Linked DNA regions of Saccharomyces cerevisiae S288C. The protein of the gene in region 3 interacts with the protein of the main gene of each other region in a biochemical or structural test. Each region holds a gene or a part of one and is shown on either strand. Other genes may lie near its edges.

Evidence for each region.
Region 1: of the proteins of CRZ1 (region 3) and TPK1, one has a biochemical effect on the other in vitro, tested with the Saccharomyces cerevisiae proteins (2 studies listed by BioGRID).
Region 2: the proteins of CRZ1 (region 3) and SKN7 form a complex in vitro, tested with the Saccharomyces cerevisiae proteins (one study listed by BioGRID).
Region 4: the proteins of CRZ1 (region 3) and CMP2 form a complex in vitro, tested with the Saccharomyces cerevisiae proteins (one study listed by BioGRID).

The regions. Positions count from the first base shown.
Region 1 is NC_001142.9:109,466-113,366, reverse strand, and holds TPK1 (cAMP-dependent protein kinase catalytic subunit TPK1), read left to right. Parts: upstream 1-2,207; coding exon 2,208-3,401; downstream 3,402-3,901. Other genes in the region: YJL163C (uncharacterized protein), read left to right, coding at 34-1,701.
Region 2 is NC_001140.6:511,065-515,462, forward strand, and holds SKN7 (kinase-regulated stress-responsive transcription factor SKN7), read left to right. Parts: upstream 1-1,667; coding exon 1,668-3,536; downstream 3,537-4,398. Other genes in the region: serine/threonine protein kinase SCH9, read left to right, coding at 1-773; SET5 (S-adenosylmethionine-dependent methyltransferase), read right to left, coding at 3,841-4,398. UniProt on the Saccharomyces cerevisiae protein: Transcription factor that is part of a SLN1-YPD1-SKN7 two-component regulatory system, which controls gene expression in response to changes in the osmolarity of the extracellular environment.
Region 3 is NC_001146.8:577,721-582,116, forward strand, and holds CRZ1 (DNA-binding transcription factor CRZ1), read left to right. Parts: upstream 1-1,859; coding exon 1,860-3,896; downstream 3,897-4,396. Other genes in the region: KTR5 (putative mannosyltransferase), read right to left, coding at 1-1,053; SAM complex subunit SAM50, read left to right, coding at 4,200-4,396. UniProt on the Saccharomyces cerevisiae protein: Involved in the regulation of calcium ion homeostasis. Binds to the calcineurin-dependent response element. Transcriptionally regulates PMC1, PMR1, PMR2A and FKS2.
Region 4 is NC_001145.3:158,530-162,494, forward strand, and holds CMP2 (calcineurin catalytic subunit A), read left to right. Parts: upstream 1-1,650; coding exon 1,651-3,465; downstream 3,466-3,965. Other genes in the region: HUG1 (Hug1p), read left to right, coding at 231-437; ribonucleotide reductase inhibiting protein SML1, read left to right, coding at 854-1,168; IMP dehydrogenase IMD4, read right to left, coding at 3,665-3,965. UniProt on the Saccharomyces cerevisiae protein: Calcium-dependent, calmodulin-stimulated protein phosphatase. This subunit may have a role in the calmodulin activation of calcineurin.

The DNA.
Region 1 (3,901 bases), on a different chromosome or scaffold from region 3:
TCTTCAAACCGTGCGAAGCAAAGGCGCAGAACAATGTCAAACGAGGATGAAACAACTCGTTTAATGTCTTCAGATGAGATGGACTATTTATTGGAAACGGCTGGGATCAACGCCTTGGAAGAAATCATTAGTCAAAATGACAGTACTGGAATAAATTTGGATACTAATGAAACAGCTCAGGACAGTAGCTATGACTCTATCCGGCGCTCCCCCAGTATTTTGAGTGTTGCCAAAAGCGTTGAGGGAGAGCATGGACGTAGAAAACTATTATGCCTTTACGGCCTTGTTATGATTATCTGTATTGCGGAGTCTATTTCTATGACTGCTACAATACCGTTGGTGATGGACAAGGTAGCGGAAGGAATTTCAGATGAGAATGGACATTATGATTCCGTGGCTGTACAGACAATAGTTTCCAGCATTTCTTCATCCACTATGATGATAGCAGGGGCAATCAGTATTTTCATGGCTGGTAAGTGGGGAGAATTATCCGATAGAATAGGAAGAGTGCGTGTTTTCAAATACATGAGCGGCATCAGGGTCATAGGGCTTCTTACGCACGTCTTTACCCTATCATCGAAAATGAAGTATCACAAATGGGCTATTGTTCTTACTGCGTGTATCGTACCATCATTCGGTGGCTTGTTTGCGCTAGTGGCGAATGGAAATAGTTACGTTTCAGATATAGTGAAAACTGAGCACAGAATGGTGACAATAGGAATAATGATGAGTTGTATATATGCCACTATGGGCGTAGGCCCAATGTTTGGGTCCTTTCTGGTGAAGTGGACTCATGGAAACGGGTTCATTCCTATTTACACATCAATAGCGTTTGTTATACTGGCGCTTATAATATGTGAGACAATCATGGTGGAACCGCGCCATGAAACCCAAATGGCCCATTCACAATCAACTTATACAAAGAGGAGAGAGAAACTAAGATCACAATCGGGTTCTGACGATGCAAGAAATTACCAATCCGTTACTTATGGAAAATTTCAAATAATGAGGTTAATGGACCTGCTCGCTCCAGTAAAAAAGTTATGGCTGAAGCCCGACAGTGCAGGGTCTTTAGTACCCCGGCATACCGTAATATTACTCATTGTACTCGATATACTATTTGTCTGTGGAACGACATCGTGTATGCCAGCATTGATTTTGTTTTCTACATATGAGTACAAATGGCATGCAGTAGAGCTAGGTTATTTCATATCGATACTGGGTATCGGAAGAGGTGTTGTGTTACTGGTCGTATCACCTACATTACTGTACACGCTAAAGAGGATTTATCAACACTTGAACCATTCGATAGACAAGATAGACATCTTTTGCATACAGTTTTCTATGATTGTTATAACACTGAGTCTCTTTGTCATGATACGATTTGGCGAGAAAACTCCCACATCCATGATAATATTCGCTCTTTTACAGGCATTGAGCGCGTTTTGTTCACCAACTTTGCAGTCTGGTATCATAAAGTACACCTCTAAGAAACATACAGGCGAGATGTTCGGAGCAATGGCTTTGGTAAGGTCCTGTGTTATGCTTGTCATCCCTCCCATCCTCCTTAAGCTATATGGAAGTACTGTCTCCGTTAATCCTAGTCTGTTTATGTATATACCGTTCTCAACAAGTATTGTTGCCATCTTGTTGACATTCTTCCTAAGAATTTACAAGAACCCTCCGCTGGACGGGCCTTAAAAACATTTACATACCGTATACACCACATATTTTTAGTTACTTGTTCGAAGCTGTGCTGCTATTCGTTCTTGCAAAGCCAGTGTCCTAACGACTTTGCTTATGACATGATTCAACATAGTGTTGTTGTGGTTTTTTCTACGTAATCATGATGATCTTTTTTTTCGCGCTATTAGGGGGGAGGGAAGGCGGGATCTGGTAAAAGTTTGACATAATAATCAAGGGGGATATCGTATCCCTTTACTTGAAAACTTGAAAAATATTCATCTACTATCTCTGGCCAGAAAAACGTGAGAATTTTTAGGTGCGAAACATCATAGAAGCTGCGATTGTATCCATCTAAGAGTTTTAATTTGATAAAGCTAAGGAATCTGACCCTATACTTTTTTTTTTGTTTGGCTTGCTTGCATTTTCAATCGGCTTCAAAGGTAGCACAGAAAGTAGTGTTCTCTTAGCTTAAGCAGTGCATGAATTATAGCTGATTGTGTGAAAGAATCTTTTTTTTGGGTATGTCGACTGAAGAACAAAATGGAGGTGGTCAAAAGTCTCTAGATGATAGACAAGGTGAGGAATCACAAAAAGGTGAGACTAGTGAAAGGGAAACAACAGCCACAGAGAGCGGTAACGAAAGTAAGTCTGTAGAAAAAGAGGGTGGAGAAACCCAAGAAAAACCGAAGCAGCCACATGTCACTTATTACAATGAGGAGCAGTATAAACAGTTTATTGCCCAAGCGAGAGTTACAAGTGGGAAGTATAGTTTACAAGACTTTCAGATATTAAGGACACTGGGTACGGGTTCTTTTGGTAGGGTCCATTTGATTAGATCAAGACATAATGGCAGATACTACGCCATGAAAGTTTTGAAAAAGGAAATCGTGGTAAGATTGAAACAGGTGGAGCATACCAACGACGAGCGATTGATGCTTTCTATCGTAACACATCCGTTTATTATTAGAATGTGGGGGACTTTCCAAGATGCTCAGCAAATTTTCATGATTATGGATTATATTGAAGGTGGAGAATTGTTTTCTTTGTTAAGGAAATCCCAAAGATTTCCCAACCCAGTTGCTAAATTTTACGCAGCGGAAGTTTGTTTAGCTTTGGAGTACTTGCATAGCAAGGACATTATTTATAGGGATTTGAAACCGGAAAATATCTTGCTTGATAAAAACGGGCATATAAAGATAACAGATTTCGGGTTTGCCAAATACGTTCCTGACGTCACATATACATTATGCGGTACTCCCGACTACATAGCACCCGAGGTCGTTAGTACTAAACCATATAATAAATCTATCGATTGGTGGAGTTTCGGTATTCTGATTTACGAAATGCTAGCAGGATACACGCCATTTTACGACTCTAACACGATGAAAACCTATGAGAAAATCTTGAATGCCGAATTGAGATTTCCACCATTTTTCAACGAAGATGTAAAGGACCTGTTGAGTAGATTGATCACAAGAGACTTAAGTCAAAGACTAGGTAATTTACAAAATGGTACAGAAGATGTCAAAAACCACCCCTGGTTCAAAGAAGTTGTCTGGGAAAAATTATTATCTAGAAACATAGAAACGCCGTATGAACCGCCCATTCAACAGGGACAAGGTGACACCTCACAGTTCGATAAGTACCCGGAAGAAGACATCAACTACGGTGTTCAAGGTGAAGACCCATATGCTGATCTTTTCCGGGACTTCTAATGACTAATGTTTTGTTGTATTTTCCTCTCGTATCTATATTTTTTTTTTTTCATATTTTTTTCCCTCTTTTCTACATAACAACTATCCTTCGAAAACGAAATTTCAACCCCTGTATAGTTACTACGGAGATGGAACGGCGTTCACTGTTCTTGTAGATTGCATACATGATGTTATCGAGGCGTATTCCTACCATTAAAAGGGCTTTTATTCTACGCTTCTGTCTTTGATTTTCTACTTTGCTCGCCGCGCCACTTTCGAAAGCTTGCATCATGAAATGAAGGATTTTGCATATCGATTTTTTTTTTACGTGAGCCCCTTGGTATAAACCAAATAAAGGGCAATTGGTGGCTCCAAACAAGTCGGAATCTCCATTCTATACGTGTATATTTTAGGAAGCATTATAGTCTACGAAAAGATCCATTCTTTCCATCCATTTACTTTTAGAATACAAAGGAGATAGAGAAACTTGCTAAATAAAAAAAAAATTTTGAAAAAATAAA
Region 2 (4,398 bases), on a different chromosome or scaffold from region 3:
CAAACACATTTTGCGGCACCACGGAATACCTGGCACCAGAATTGTTACTGGACGAAACCGGCTACACCAAAATGGTCGATTTCTGGTCTCTAGGTGTTTTGATATTTGAAATGTGTTGTGGTTGGTCCCCTTTCTTTGCGGAAAATAATCAAAAAATGTACCAAAAAATTGCCTTTGGTAAAGTCAAATTCCCCAGAGACGTACTGTCACAAGAGGGGAGGTCTTTTGTAAAGGGTTTACTAAACAGAAACCCCAAACATAGACTCGGTGCCATTGATGATGGAAGAGAACTACGAGCTCATCCATTTTTCGCAGATATCGACTGGGAGGCCTTGAAGCAGAAAAAAATTCCACCACCTTTCAAACCTCACCTAGTCTCGGAGACGGATACCTCGAATTTTGACCCAGAGTTCACAACAGCTTCAACTTCATACATGAACAAGCACCAGCCGATGATGACTGCTACCCCGCTATCTCCAGCCATGCAAGCAAAGTTTGCTGGTTTCACCTTTGTTGATGAGTCCGCCATCGATGAACACGTTAATAACAACAGAAAATTCCTACAAAACTCGTACTTTATGGAACCTGGTTCCTTTATCCCGGGAAATCCAAACTTACCTCCAGACGAAGATGTCATCGATGATGACGGGGACGAGGACATCAATGATGGATTCAACCAAGAGAAAAATATGAACAACAGCCATTCGCAGATGGACTTCGACGGCGACCAACACATGGATGACGAATTTGTCAGTGGAAGATTCGAAATATGATTTCTCAATCGCTCCTCTTGCCCTTCCTCTTCTTTTCCTTTTCTTTTTATTTTTTTCTAATTTTTCTATCTTTTATTTCTACTTCTATTATTAATTTGTATCTTCTAATCGTTTTTCCCACTTTATCGAAACATTTCTTCTATTTATATATGTAAAGTATGTATGTATTTTCGTTTTATTTAAACTCCAAAAAATGAATAATTGTTCCTGCAAATTTCTAGTTTATCACGTCTCATAATCACTGCTTATACCTCACCATTCCATTGTACTTTGACATATTTACCCCTCATCTATATATAATCAGGGCTTAAGTAAACGCTTCGCTGTGATTTCCCAAAGTCGGTTCGGAAATTATAGGTCGGTTATATCATCCGAAAAAAAAAAAAAAAAAGTTTTTCTTAAATGCATAGGTTTAAAGTCGATTAAAAGTAGGGCTAACACAAGTATAAGCAGGGTTTTGCTATAATAGGGATGCCATAAGTGAGGGCAGGGCTCATCGATGCGCGTACATGGATTTTCCGAAATTCTGAATTTTTTCTTTCTTTAACTATGAGCAAAATGTGGTCAGCTTTACTGAGCTTAACTGTCATCCCATCGAATGTGACAAGATTGAAAGTGCTTCCAGGATCTGAAACATTTGTCAAAGTTTTACTAACATTACACAGATATCCCTGGTCACCTTACTATCTTCCAACATCTTACCTAGGCTTGCTGCTTTTGTTTGGGTCATATATTTAACTCGCTCATTAGAGGACATTCTGTTTTTTCCAAGACCAACAAAAAAGCAACGAAATTGCTGTATTATTAAAGGACTGTTATAGAAGTTTTTTTATCCTCTCTTTGTTTCCATTATTCTTATTCCTATTTTTTCGTTGCTTACTTTTGATATCCACTATGAGCTTTTCCACCATAAATAGCAACGTCAATAAAACCACCGGCGATAGCAATAATAACACCACCGAGAACAGTTCGACTGCAGACCTTTTAGGAATGGACTTGTTGCAGAGCGGGCCTCGACTGATGAACACGATGCAGCCAAACAACTCTTCTGACATGCTGCACATTAACAACAAGACTAATAACGTTCAACAACCAGCTGGAAACACAAATATCAGCAGTGCTAATGCGGGAGCAAAGGCTCCAGCAAATGAGTTCGTAAGAAAACTGTTCAGGATACTGGAAAACAATGAATATCCTGACATTGTAACTTGGACTGAGAACGGCAAAAGTTTCGTCGTTTTGGACACAGGAAAGTTCACTACGCATATATTGCCTAATCACTTCAAACATTCAAATTTTGCATCTTTTGTAAGGCAACTAAACAAGTATGACTTTCACAAGGTTAAGAGAAGTCCCGAGGAAAGACAGAGATGTAAATATGGCGAACAAAGTTGGGAGTTTCAGCATCCAGAATTTAGAGTCCATTACGGAAAAGGTCTCGATAACATCAAAAGGAAAATTCCGGCGCAAAGGAAAGTGCTTTTGGATGAATCTCAAAAGGCTCTTTTGCATTTCAATAGTGAAGGCACTAACCCCAACAATCCTTCTGGGTCTCTTTTGAATGAATCCACCACAGAGCTGTTGTTAAGCAATACCGTAAGTAAAGATGCATTTGGAAATCTAAGAAGGCGAGTAGACAAACTACAAAAGGAGTTGGATATGTCCAAAATGGAGAGTTATGCTACTAAAGTAGAACTACAAAAGTTGAACTCGAAATACAATACGGTTATCGAAAGTTTGATAACATTCAAGACCATAAATGAAAATTTACTCAACAACTTCAACACTCTGTGTTCCACTTTGGCAAATAATGGTATTGAAGTGCCAATATTTGGCGACAATGGAAACCGTAACCCAACTGGTAATACCAACCCAGCAACAACAACAGCTATCCAAAGCAACAACAACACCAACAATGCTTCTCCGGCAACATCTACAGTTTCCTTACAACTACCTAATTTACCCGATCAGAATAGCCTAACACCAAATGCTCAAAATAACACAGTCACGCTACGAAAAGGTTTCCATGTACTGTTGGTGGAAGATGACGCAGTGTCTATACAGTTGTGTTCAAAATTTTTACGGAAATATGGCTGTACTGTCCAAGTTGTCAGCGACGGTCTTTCAGCTATCTCAACACTAGAGAAGTATAGGTATGATTTGGTTTTAATGGACATTGTTATGCCAAACCTAGATGGTGCCACAGCGACATCCATTGTCAGAAGTTTTGATAATGAGACTCCCATCATTGCCATGACAGGTAACATTATGAATCAAGACTTGATCACATACTTACAACATGGAATGAATGATATCTTGGCCAAACCATTCACGAGGGATGATTTACACTCAATTTTAATACGTTATCTAAAGGACCGTATTCCTTTATGCGAACAGCAATTACCACCTCGCAACTCTTCGCCACAAACTCATTCCAACACCAATACTGCTAATTCGAATCCTAATACGATTAATGAACAGTCGTTAGCCATGTTACCACAAGATAATCCGTCAACTACTACCCCTGTTACCCCAGGTGCCTCTATATCTTCTGCACAGCATGTTCAACAAGGTCAACAAGAACAGCAGCATCAAATTTTCCATGCTCAGCAGCAGCAGCAGCATCACAACGCCATTGCTAATGCTAGGTCAGACGTAGCCATACCGAATTTGGAACATGAAATCAACACTGTACCACATTCCTCAATGGGTTCCACTCCGCAATTACCACAATCTACACTTCAAGAAAACCAGCTATCATAAAATTTTACAAATAGCCTTGCGTCTAAGTTAGCAGAGGACATTCTGTATTCCTGAGGAGTTTCTTTATATTTATTATGTGATCTTGGAGGATTATCATTTTCTTTTCGTTCAATATTTTATCCCCTTCAGTTATTTCCAGTTATCTACATCAAAATGTTTGAATTTTATTTCTTTCTGCCGCTCTCAAATTCACTCTCATTTCTTTTTTCTTTGTTTTTCTTATATTTACTATATATATATATATATATATATATATATAGCCAAAAACAATAACAGACACAGTAATTTAGTATGCGTTTATCTCTTATCTTTCATCCACTGCGACCGAAACGTTTGAATCGAATCTGACTGAGGTTTTTCTTACATTCCCTTGTGTATCAACAGTTTCTGGTATGTCTAATTCAAATTCTTTTCCATTCTTCAGTATTTCTTTTAAATCTGGCTGGGCCTCTCTCATGGAAGATTTACGATTACCAGTTGATTTCTTAGAGCCATCTTCACTACTATCATTGGAATCTATTTTTTCTACTCCTAAATTAGCATCCGCATTCTTTTTCTCTAGATTTGGAACTCTTTCAAATGTAGATAGTTCATTTTGACAGCGGTCACACTGGCATAAGAAGCCCCAGTTAACTCTTAATTCCCTACGCCTCAACCTCACCCCATGTAAGGGATTGACGTACGTAATACGTATTTGTTCCCCCTTCTTTATTGGTTTCCTTGCATGCAACCTCAGTTCCTCATGTTCTTCTACTTGCTCAATATAGGCGTTTGGTTCACAATCATGGTTTATGAAGGAGATCCAATGATATACCTGGCCGTTATATTGATTGATATTGAACGTCCCGATCATGGTCAAAAA
Region 3 (4,396 bases):
TTCATTGAAAAATTTGTCTTCTACGATATGCTTCCTAGAGCGAGCCTTATGTATCAAATTCATTATTCCCTCTTTGTCATCATTTATCTGTTGGAAATCATCACCCTTTTTCAAAAGCTGCTCGATGGCTATCTTTTCGGATATCTTAGCCTTGGCCTGAAAATCATAGTTGATCCAGTCCCGTAACTCCGGATCATCGGATTCAAAAATGTCGTAATCCTTTGTAAATAGTTTCCATAATGACCCAAGCGTAACGCCTTTTTGACTGATAAAGCTTTTAGTGTGTCTAAACAAATTTGGGACTGTCCAATACAATTCGGGGATGATGATCGTAAATCCATATTTCTTATTAGTTCGGAGCATCTCCAAAAAGGGATCGTAGGTAATATCACAGAAAAACTCAACATCGGGTTCCAATCTCCAATACCATTCGTACTTCTGTACTAGCGGGTGCTTGTAAAATAATCCTGAATAAAACCGGCACATCTTATGATATGATTCTAAGTTTCCGTAAAGTATGCTTCTATCACCTTGATCCTCAATTGCGTTGTAGAACTCGAACGTATCCTTTACGTCACTGGGAAAATTCCAAGATATCTCATCGATAGTGCCAAATTCCACCAGCGCGCCCACTGTAACATCACGTACTTTTGCTTTGAAGTCCTCTTCAAACGGCTGGTCATTTAAGAACACATATGGATAGTGGAACCACTGATTGAAATGCTCTTCTATACTGTTGATAGTCTTGATAACATCTTCTAGCTCCCCGTTCCTTGTTAGCATGACAAACGAGGCATTCTGCTTGATGTACGATGGATTCAACAAATAGTCCTGAGTATTCACACAATTCGAATAAAAGGGTCTGTCCCTCTTCGTCGCAAGATCCATCTTGGAAAACGGAAGAAAATTTCCCATAGTTCCGTCTACGGATGCAGGCTCAGATACAAGTACCACATACATGGTTATGACGAAGGCAATCAGGATGCACGTCGCCGTAAGATTGCAATGGATACATCCCAGAAATGCATTTATCGTCCTTCTTATTAGCAACATCTGCTACCTTATGACGATGTGCCGTATTGAGACACATTTATTGATGACACCTCCATTGAACAAGACTATTTGTGCACGGAAGCACTCATATCTACTACTTCGCATTTTTTTGAAGACCCTTTCTCGAATGCCTGCCCAAATTTTTCAATTTTCTTGGCATCATCCACACACCGCATGCTTAAAGTGTACTATCCAAAAAATGAGAGAAAAAGCAAATACCTAAAAGCACCCCACCTCTTCCATATCCCACGTAATGGCAATTGGCATATATGCTCGGCAAGGGAAATTACTGGTCGTAATATAGTGCAACATGCAACTTGCCAGGCGCACTATAGTCACATCTTATTATGTTAGCAGTTGAGCTCCAGCTTTGACTGCACTTTAGCTTAGTTGCAACTTCGCCCCTCTGTTGGGGGCTGAAAAGTACATCCGCGCATTTAACAATTGCTAAGCTATCTTGAATAACATTATACTAATTAATATCTATAGAAGCAGAATGTCTACTACGTCGAGGACCCTACCCCTGTATTTGTGCCTTGCATGAGCGAGCTATATATCAGCGATACGTTTTTTTGTTTTCCTTTCGACCTTCTTGCCTACCCTCTCACTTTTCCCACCTGAATTTTTTTTATCATATTAGTCCGATATTGAGTTTATAAACCTTGTGAAGTGCTAGATAAAGTACAATCAAAAGAGCAGGCAATAGCCATCACAGCAGTTTAGTACGATTATACACTCTGAACGCGAGTAAAACTAGGTTGTATTTTTAGTCTCGATTGGAAGTTTCGTCAGACAGTACAAGGAAGATGTCATTCAGCAACGGAAATATGGCTTCCTACATGACTAGTAGTAATGGAGAGGAGCAAAGTATAAACAACAAAAACGATATAGACGATAACAGCGCTTACAGACGTAATAATTTCAGGAATAGTAGCAATTCAGGATCACATACGTTCCAATTATCGGACTTGGACTTAGATGTGGATATGAGGATGGATTCCGCCAATTCATCGGAGAAAATATCAAAGAACCTTTCCTCTGGCATCCCGGACTCATTTGATTCTAACGTGAACAGCTTGCTGTCTCCGTCAAGCGGTTCTTATTCTGCAGATTTGAATTACCAAAGTCTATACAAACCAGATCTTCCACAGCAACAGTTACAACAGCAACAGTTACAACAGCAACAGCAACAGCAACAGCAACAACAACAGCAACAGCAGAAGCAAACACCAACTTTAAAAGTCGAACAATCTGATACATTTCAGTGGGACGATATCTTAACACCTGCTGATAATCAACATCGGCCATCCCTCACAAACCAGTTTTTATCTCCAAGATCTAATTACGATGGTACCACTAGGAGCTCGGGCATTGACTCCAATTATAGCGATACAGAATCAAACTATCATACGCCTTATTTGTATCCACAGGACTTAGTTTCTTCACCTGCGATGTCTCACTTAACCGCGAATAACGATGATTTTGACGATCTTTTGAGCGTCGCATCTATGAACTCAAATTATTTACTGCCCGTAAATTCACATGGTTATAAACATATTTCAAACCTTGATGAGTTGGATGACTTGCTATCTTTAACATATTCAGACAATAACCTTTTATCAGCATCAAACAACAGTGATTTCAACAACAGTAATAACGGAATTATTAATACCGCTGACACTCAAAACAGTACCATTGCCATTAATAAAAGTAAAGTCGGTACTAACCAAAAGATGTTATTGACTATTCCAACTTCTTCCACACCTTCTCCTTCCACTCATGCTGCCCCGGTAACACCCATCATTTCTATACAGGAATTCAATGAGGGACACTTCCCAGTTAAAAACGAAGATGACGGAACGTTACAACTAAAAGTTCGGGATAACGAAAGTTATAGCGCTACTAACAATAACAATCTACTTCGTCCAGATGATAATGATTACAACAACGAAGCTCTCAGTGATATTGACCGCTCCTTCGAAGATATCATTAACGGTCGAAAATTGAAACTTAAAAAATCAAGAAGAAGATCTTCTCAAACTTCCAATAATAGTTTCACTAGCAGGAGATCCTCGAGATCAAGAAGCATATCTCCCGATGAAAAAGCTAAATCTATAAGTGCAAATAGGGAAAAGTTATTGGAGATGGCAGATCTTTTACCATCCAGTGAAAATGACAATAATCGGGAGCGCTATGACAATGATAGCAAAACTAGCTATAACACCATTAACAGTAGCAATTTTAATGAGGATAATAATAATAACAATTTGTTAACAAGTAAACCAAAAATTGAATCGGGCATTGTCAATATTAAAAATGAACTAGATGACACTAGCAAAGATCTTGGCATACTTCTAGACATAGATAGCTTGGGCCAATTTGAGCAGAAAGTTGGTTTCAAAAATGATGATAATCACGAAAATAACGATAATGGCACATTTTCTGTTAAGAAAAATGACAATCTAGAAAAACTAGACAGTGTAACAAATAATAGGAAAAATCCTGCGAATTTTGCTTGTGATGTATGTGGTAAGAAGTTTACAAGACCTTATAACTTAAAGTCACACTTAAGAACGCATACAAATGAAAGGCCATTTATTTGTTCTATTTGTGGTAAGGCGTTTGCACGTCAACATGATAGAAAGAGACACGAAGATTTGCATACAGGTAAGAAAAGGTATGTATGCGGTGGTAAGCTGAAGGACGGTAAACCCTGGGGTTGTGGCAAAAAGTTTGCAAGAAGTGATGCTCTTGGTAGGCATTTTAAAACTGAAAGTGGTAGAAGATGCATCACTCCCTTGTACGAAGAAGCCAGACAGGAGAAATCGGGACAAGAGAGTTAATTATTTTTGTTTTTTTAAGCTTTGAATAGGAATTTTTTTTTTCTATATAATAAATATGTAATTTCATAATGACAGTGTAGAAATTATGGCTAATCTAATCCATGCAAAGGTATTATTTGGTTATTGTTTTTGTAATGAAATAGTATAAAACAGTGATATTCTTACGGATTAATAGTTTTTACGCCCGTCTGAATTTTCTAAGCTGCCGAAAATAATGGCAAGTAACAAAAAGTTATTGTATGAGGATGCGTTTTACGTGGCAAAAGTTTTGATGCCAAATAGACAAAAGTAGCTCAATTCAACATGACCTCATCATCTGGTGTTGATAATGAGATTTCCTTAGACAGCCCGATGCCAATTTTCAATGAGAGTTCTACTTTAAAGCCAATTAGGGTTGCGGGTGTAGTAACAACAGGGACAGATCATATCGACCCTAGCGTACTACAGGCATACTTAGATGATACTATTATGAAATCCATTACTTTGGGGCAGCTAGTGAA
Region 4 (3,965 bases), on a different chromosome or scaffold from region 3:
AGGGCAAATACGTAAAGGTTGCCTTCGTATCTCGTTTCCACAGCAACGAGAAACGAGATACGAAGGCAACTGATTCCCAGCATATAAAAGGCCATGAATTTTTGGCGTTTCCTATTGTCTTTTCGAAACTATTTCTTTCATTCCTTTCCTTTCTTGTTCTTTTACTTATAAGAAAAATAATATACGTATATATATAACTACAAACCACATCAGCAATAAAAAAAAACTATATGACCATGGACCAAGGCCTTAACCCAAAGCAATTCTTCCTTGACGATGTCGTCCTACAAGACACTTTGTGCTCAATGAGCAACCGTGTCAACAAGAGTGTCAAGACCGGCTACTTATTCCCCAAGGATCACGTTCCTTCTGCCAACATCATTGCCGTCGAACGTCGCGGCGGTCTTTCTGACATTGGTAAGAATACTTCCAACTAAGAGCATGCTTCTCTTTTTTTTTGTAGGCCAATGATAGGAAAGAACAATAGATTATAAATACGTCAGAATATAGTAGATATGTTTTTATGTTTAGACCTCGTACATAGGAATAATTGACGTTTTTTTTTGGCCAACATTTGAAATTTTTTTTTGTTACCTCGCGCTGAGCCCAAACGGGCTCCACTACCCGCCGCGGTCGCCATTTTGGGAAGTCATCCGTCCCAAAAAGGAAATAGCCATAACATATCGTTACTGTTTTGGAACATCGCCCGTTTCGCCCGATTCCGCCTCAGCGGGTATAAAAAGAGATCTTTTTTTTTCCTGGCTGTCCCTTCCCATTTTTAAATGTCTTATCTGCTCCTTTGTGATCTTACGGTCTCACTAACCTCTCTTCAACTGCTCAATAATTTCCCGCTATGCAAAATTCCCAAGACTACTTTTACGCTCAAAATCGCTGCCAACAACAACAAGCCCCTTCCACATTGCGTACCGTGACCATGGCGGAATTTAGAAGGGTGCCTTTGCCACCTATGGCTGAGGTTCCTATGTTGTCTACTCAAAACTCCATGGGCAGCTCCGCTTCTGCCTCCGCTTCTTCATTAGAAATGTGGGAAAAGGATTTGGAGGAGAGACTCAACTCTATCGATCATGACATGAACAACAACAAATTTGGTTCTGGCGAACTAAAATCTATGTTCAACCAGGGTAAGGTCGAGGAAATGGACTTCTAAAGTTCCTTTCATACTCTTTTCTTTTCTCTTTCCATTTCCCACTAGTTCTGTTCTTTTCTTCTCTTAGATACCCTTCTTTTCAGGGACTCTCGTCCTACTATTGTTGTCATTCTCGAAACATTCTCTCCCGTGCATTTTCCTTTCCCTTTATATACATATATATATATATATATATATATGTCTCTTCTACGTATTTTTGTATTTCTGTGTCTTTATCAAAGATAGTCTATAATACGTTTGATACAGCTAGATATCGCTAGCGCCAACATTGTCCCCCTCTCTTGATCAATGCTTTTTTTCGGCCCGAGACAAATGAGAAAATGTCCTAAAAATACCTTTCATCAAGACTCCTATTTTTCCTTAGAAAAAACATATATCCAACTGGAACAGTATTAAGCCAATTGCTACGATACAAACAAAAGGAGATATTCCTTCCCTCCCATAGAGTCACACAGGAGCCAGTACTTCTTCTTGAACCCGCAATGTCTTCAGACGCTATAAGAAATACTGAGCAGATAAACGCCGCTATTAAAATTATAGAAAACAAAACAGAGCGTCCGCAATCGTCCACAACCCCTATAGATTCGAAGGCTAGTACAGTTGCTGCTGCTAATTCCACGGCCACAGAAACTTCCAGAGACCTTACACAATATACCCTAGATGACGGAAGAGTCGTATCGACAAACCGCAGAATAATGAATAAAGTGCCCGCCATCACGTCACATGTTCCTACAGATGAAGAGCTGTTCCAGCCCAATGGGATACCTCGTCACGAATTCCTAAGAGATCATTTCAAGCGCGAGGGCAAATTGTCGGCTGCGCAGGCGGCCAGGATCGTTACACTTGCAACGGAACTCTTCAGCAAAGAACCCAACCTTATATCTGTTCCCGCCCCAATCACAGTTTGCGGTGATATCCATGGCCAGTACTTTGACCTTTTGAAGCTATTCGAAGTTGGCGGAGATCCGGCCACTACATCGTATTTGTTCTTGGGAGACTATGTCGACAGAGGGTCCTTTTCGTTTGAGTGTCTTATTTATTTATATTCTTTGAAGCTGAATTTTAACGACCATTTCTGGCTACTGAGGGGTAACCACGAATGTAAGCATCTAACGTCATATTTCACTTTCAAAAATGAAATGCTGCACAAGTACAATCTAGATATTTACGAGAAATGCTGCGAATCGTTTAACAACTTGCCCCTGGCTGCGTTAATGAACGGACAGTATCTTTGTGTTCATGGTGGTATATCTCCCGAGTTAAACTCTTTACAGGACATTAACAACCTAAATAGATTCAGGGAGATTCCCTCTCATGGCCTGATGTGTGATCTGTTGTGGGCTGACCCGATTGAAGAGTACGACGAAGTCTTGGATAAAGACTTGACTGAGGAAGACATAGTGAACTCCAAAACCATGGTTCCTCATCATGGCAAGATGGCACCTTCAAGGGATATGTTTGTCCCAAACTCAGTAAGGGGCTGTTCATATGCCTTCACGTATCGTGCTGCGTGCCATTTTCTGCAAGAGACTGGCCTGTTGTCCATCATCAGGGCACACGAGGCTCAAGACGCTGGTTATAGAATGTACAAAAATACCAAGACTTTGGGCTTTCCCTCTCTTTTGACCCTTTTCAGTGCGCCTAACTACTTGGACACCTACAATAATAAGGCTGCCATATTGAAATACGAAAATAATGTTATGAATATCAGACAATTCAACATGACTCCACACCCCTATTGGTTACCAGATTTCATGGACGTTTTCACGTGGTCCTTGCCATTTGTTGGTGAAAAAGTTACAGAGATGCTTGTCGCAATTCTAAACATCTGTACTGAAGATGAGCTGGAAAACGACACCCCCGTCATTGAAGAATTAGTTGGTACCGATAAAAAATTGCCACAAGCTGGTAAGTCGGAAGCAACTCCACAACCAGCCACTTCGGCGTCGCCTAAACATGCTTCCATTTTAGATGACGAACATCGAAGGAAAGCCTTACGAAATAAGATTCTGGCCGTCGCCAAAGTTTCCAGAATGTATTCTGTTCTCAGAGAAGAAACCAATAAAGTTCAGTTTTTAAAAGATCACAATTCAGGCGTGTTGCCACGTGGCGCTTTATCTAATGGTGTAAAGGGTTTAGATGAAGCCCTGTCTACCTTTGAAAGGGCAAGAAAGCACGATTTAATTAATGAAAAATTACCGCCTTCACTAGACGAACTGAAAAACGAAAATAAGAAGTACTACGAAAAAGTTTGGCAGAAAGTACATGAACATGATGCAAAGAATGATAGCAAATAGAGAAAGCTCCTATTTCCACTGTACATACTTCAATAAGTAAGTAAGTTGCATTAATTATCTATTTAGAAGCTAGATGCTCCTCAAATGCACAGAATCATATAGCGTTTTATTAGGTCTGTTCTTTATTTTAGTTTTGTTGATCTCTATGAAGGTATATTTATATGCAAAAATAAACTTTTAAATATCTATGGATGCTTACTCAATTGTATAGACGTTTTTCATAGGAGTGCAAATTATGGACACCACCTTCTAATTGAGCAGAAGCGGTTCTGAATTCAAATCTAACTTCACCATTTTGAACATTCTCTTTCAATGAAGTTAGAGATTCGCAACCAATGTCTTGACAAGAATGTTGTAAACCGTTGTACAAATATGGAATAAACTTCTTGATGGAACCTTTGTCTACGACAGCCCCAGAAACACCTTGTGCAACCAAGACACTGTCTGACTCAGAGAAATAACGAGAAGTAGAGGCATTACCCTTGTTACCGGTCTTTTGC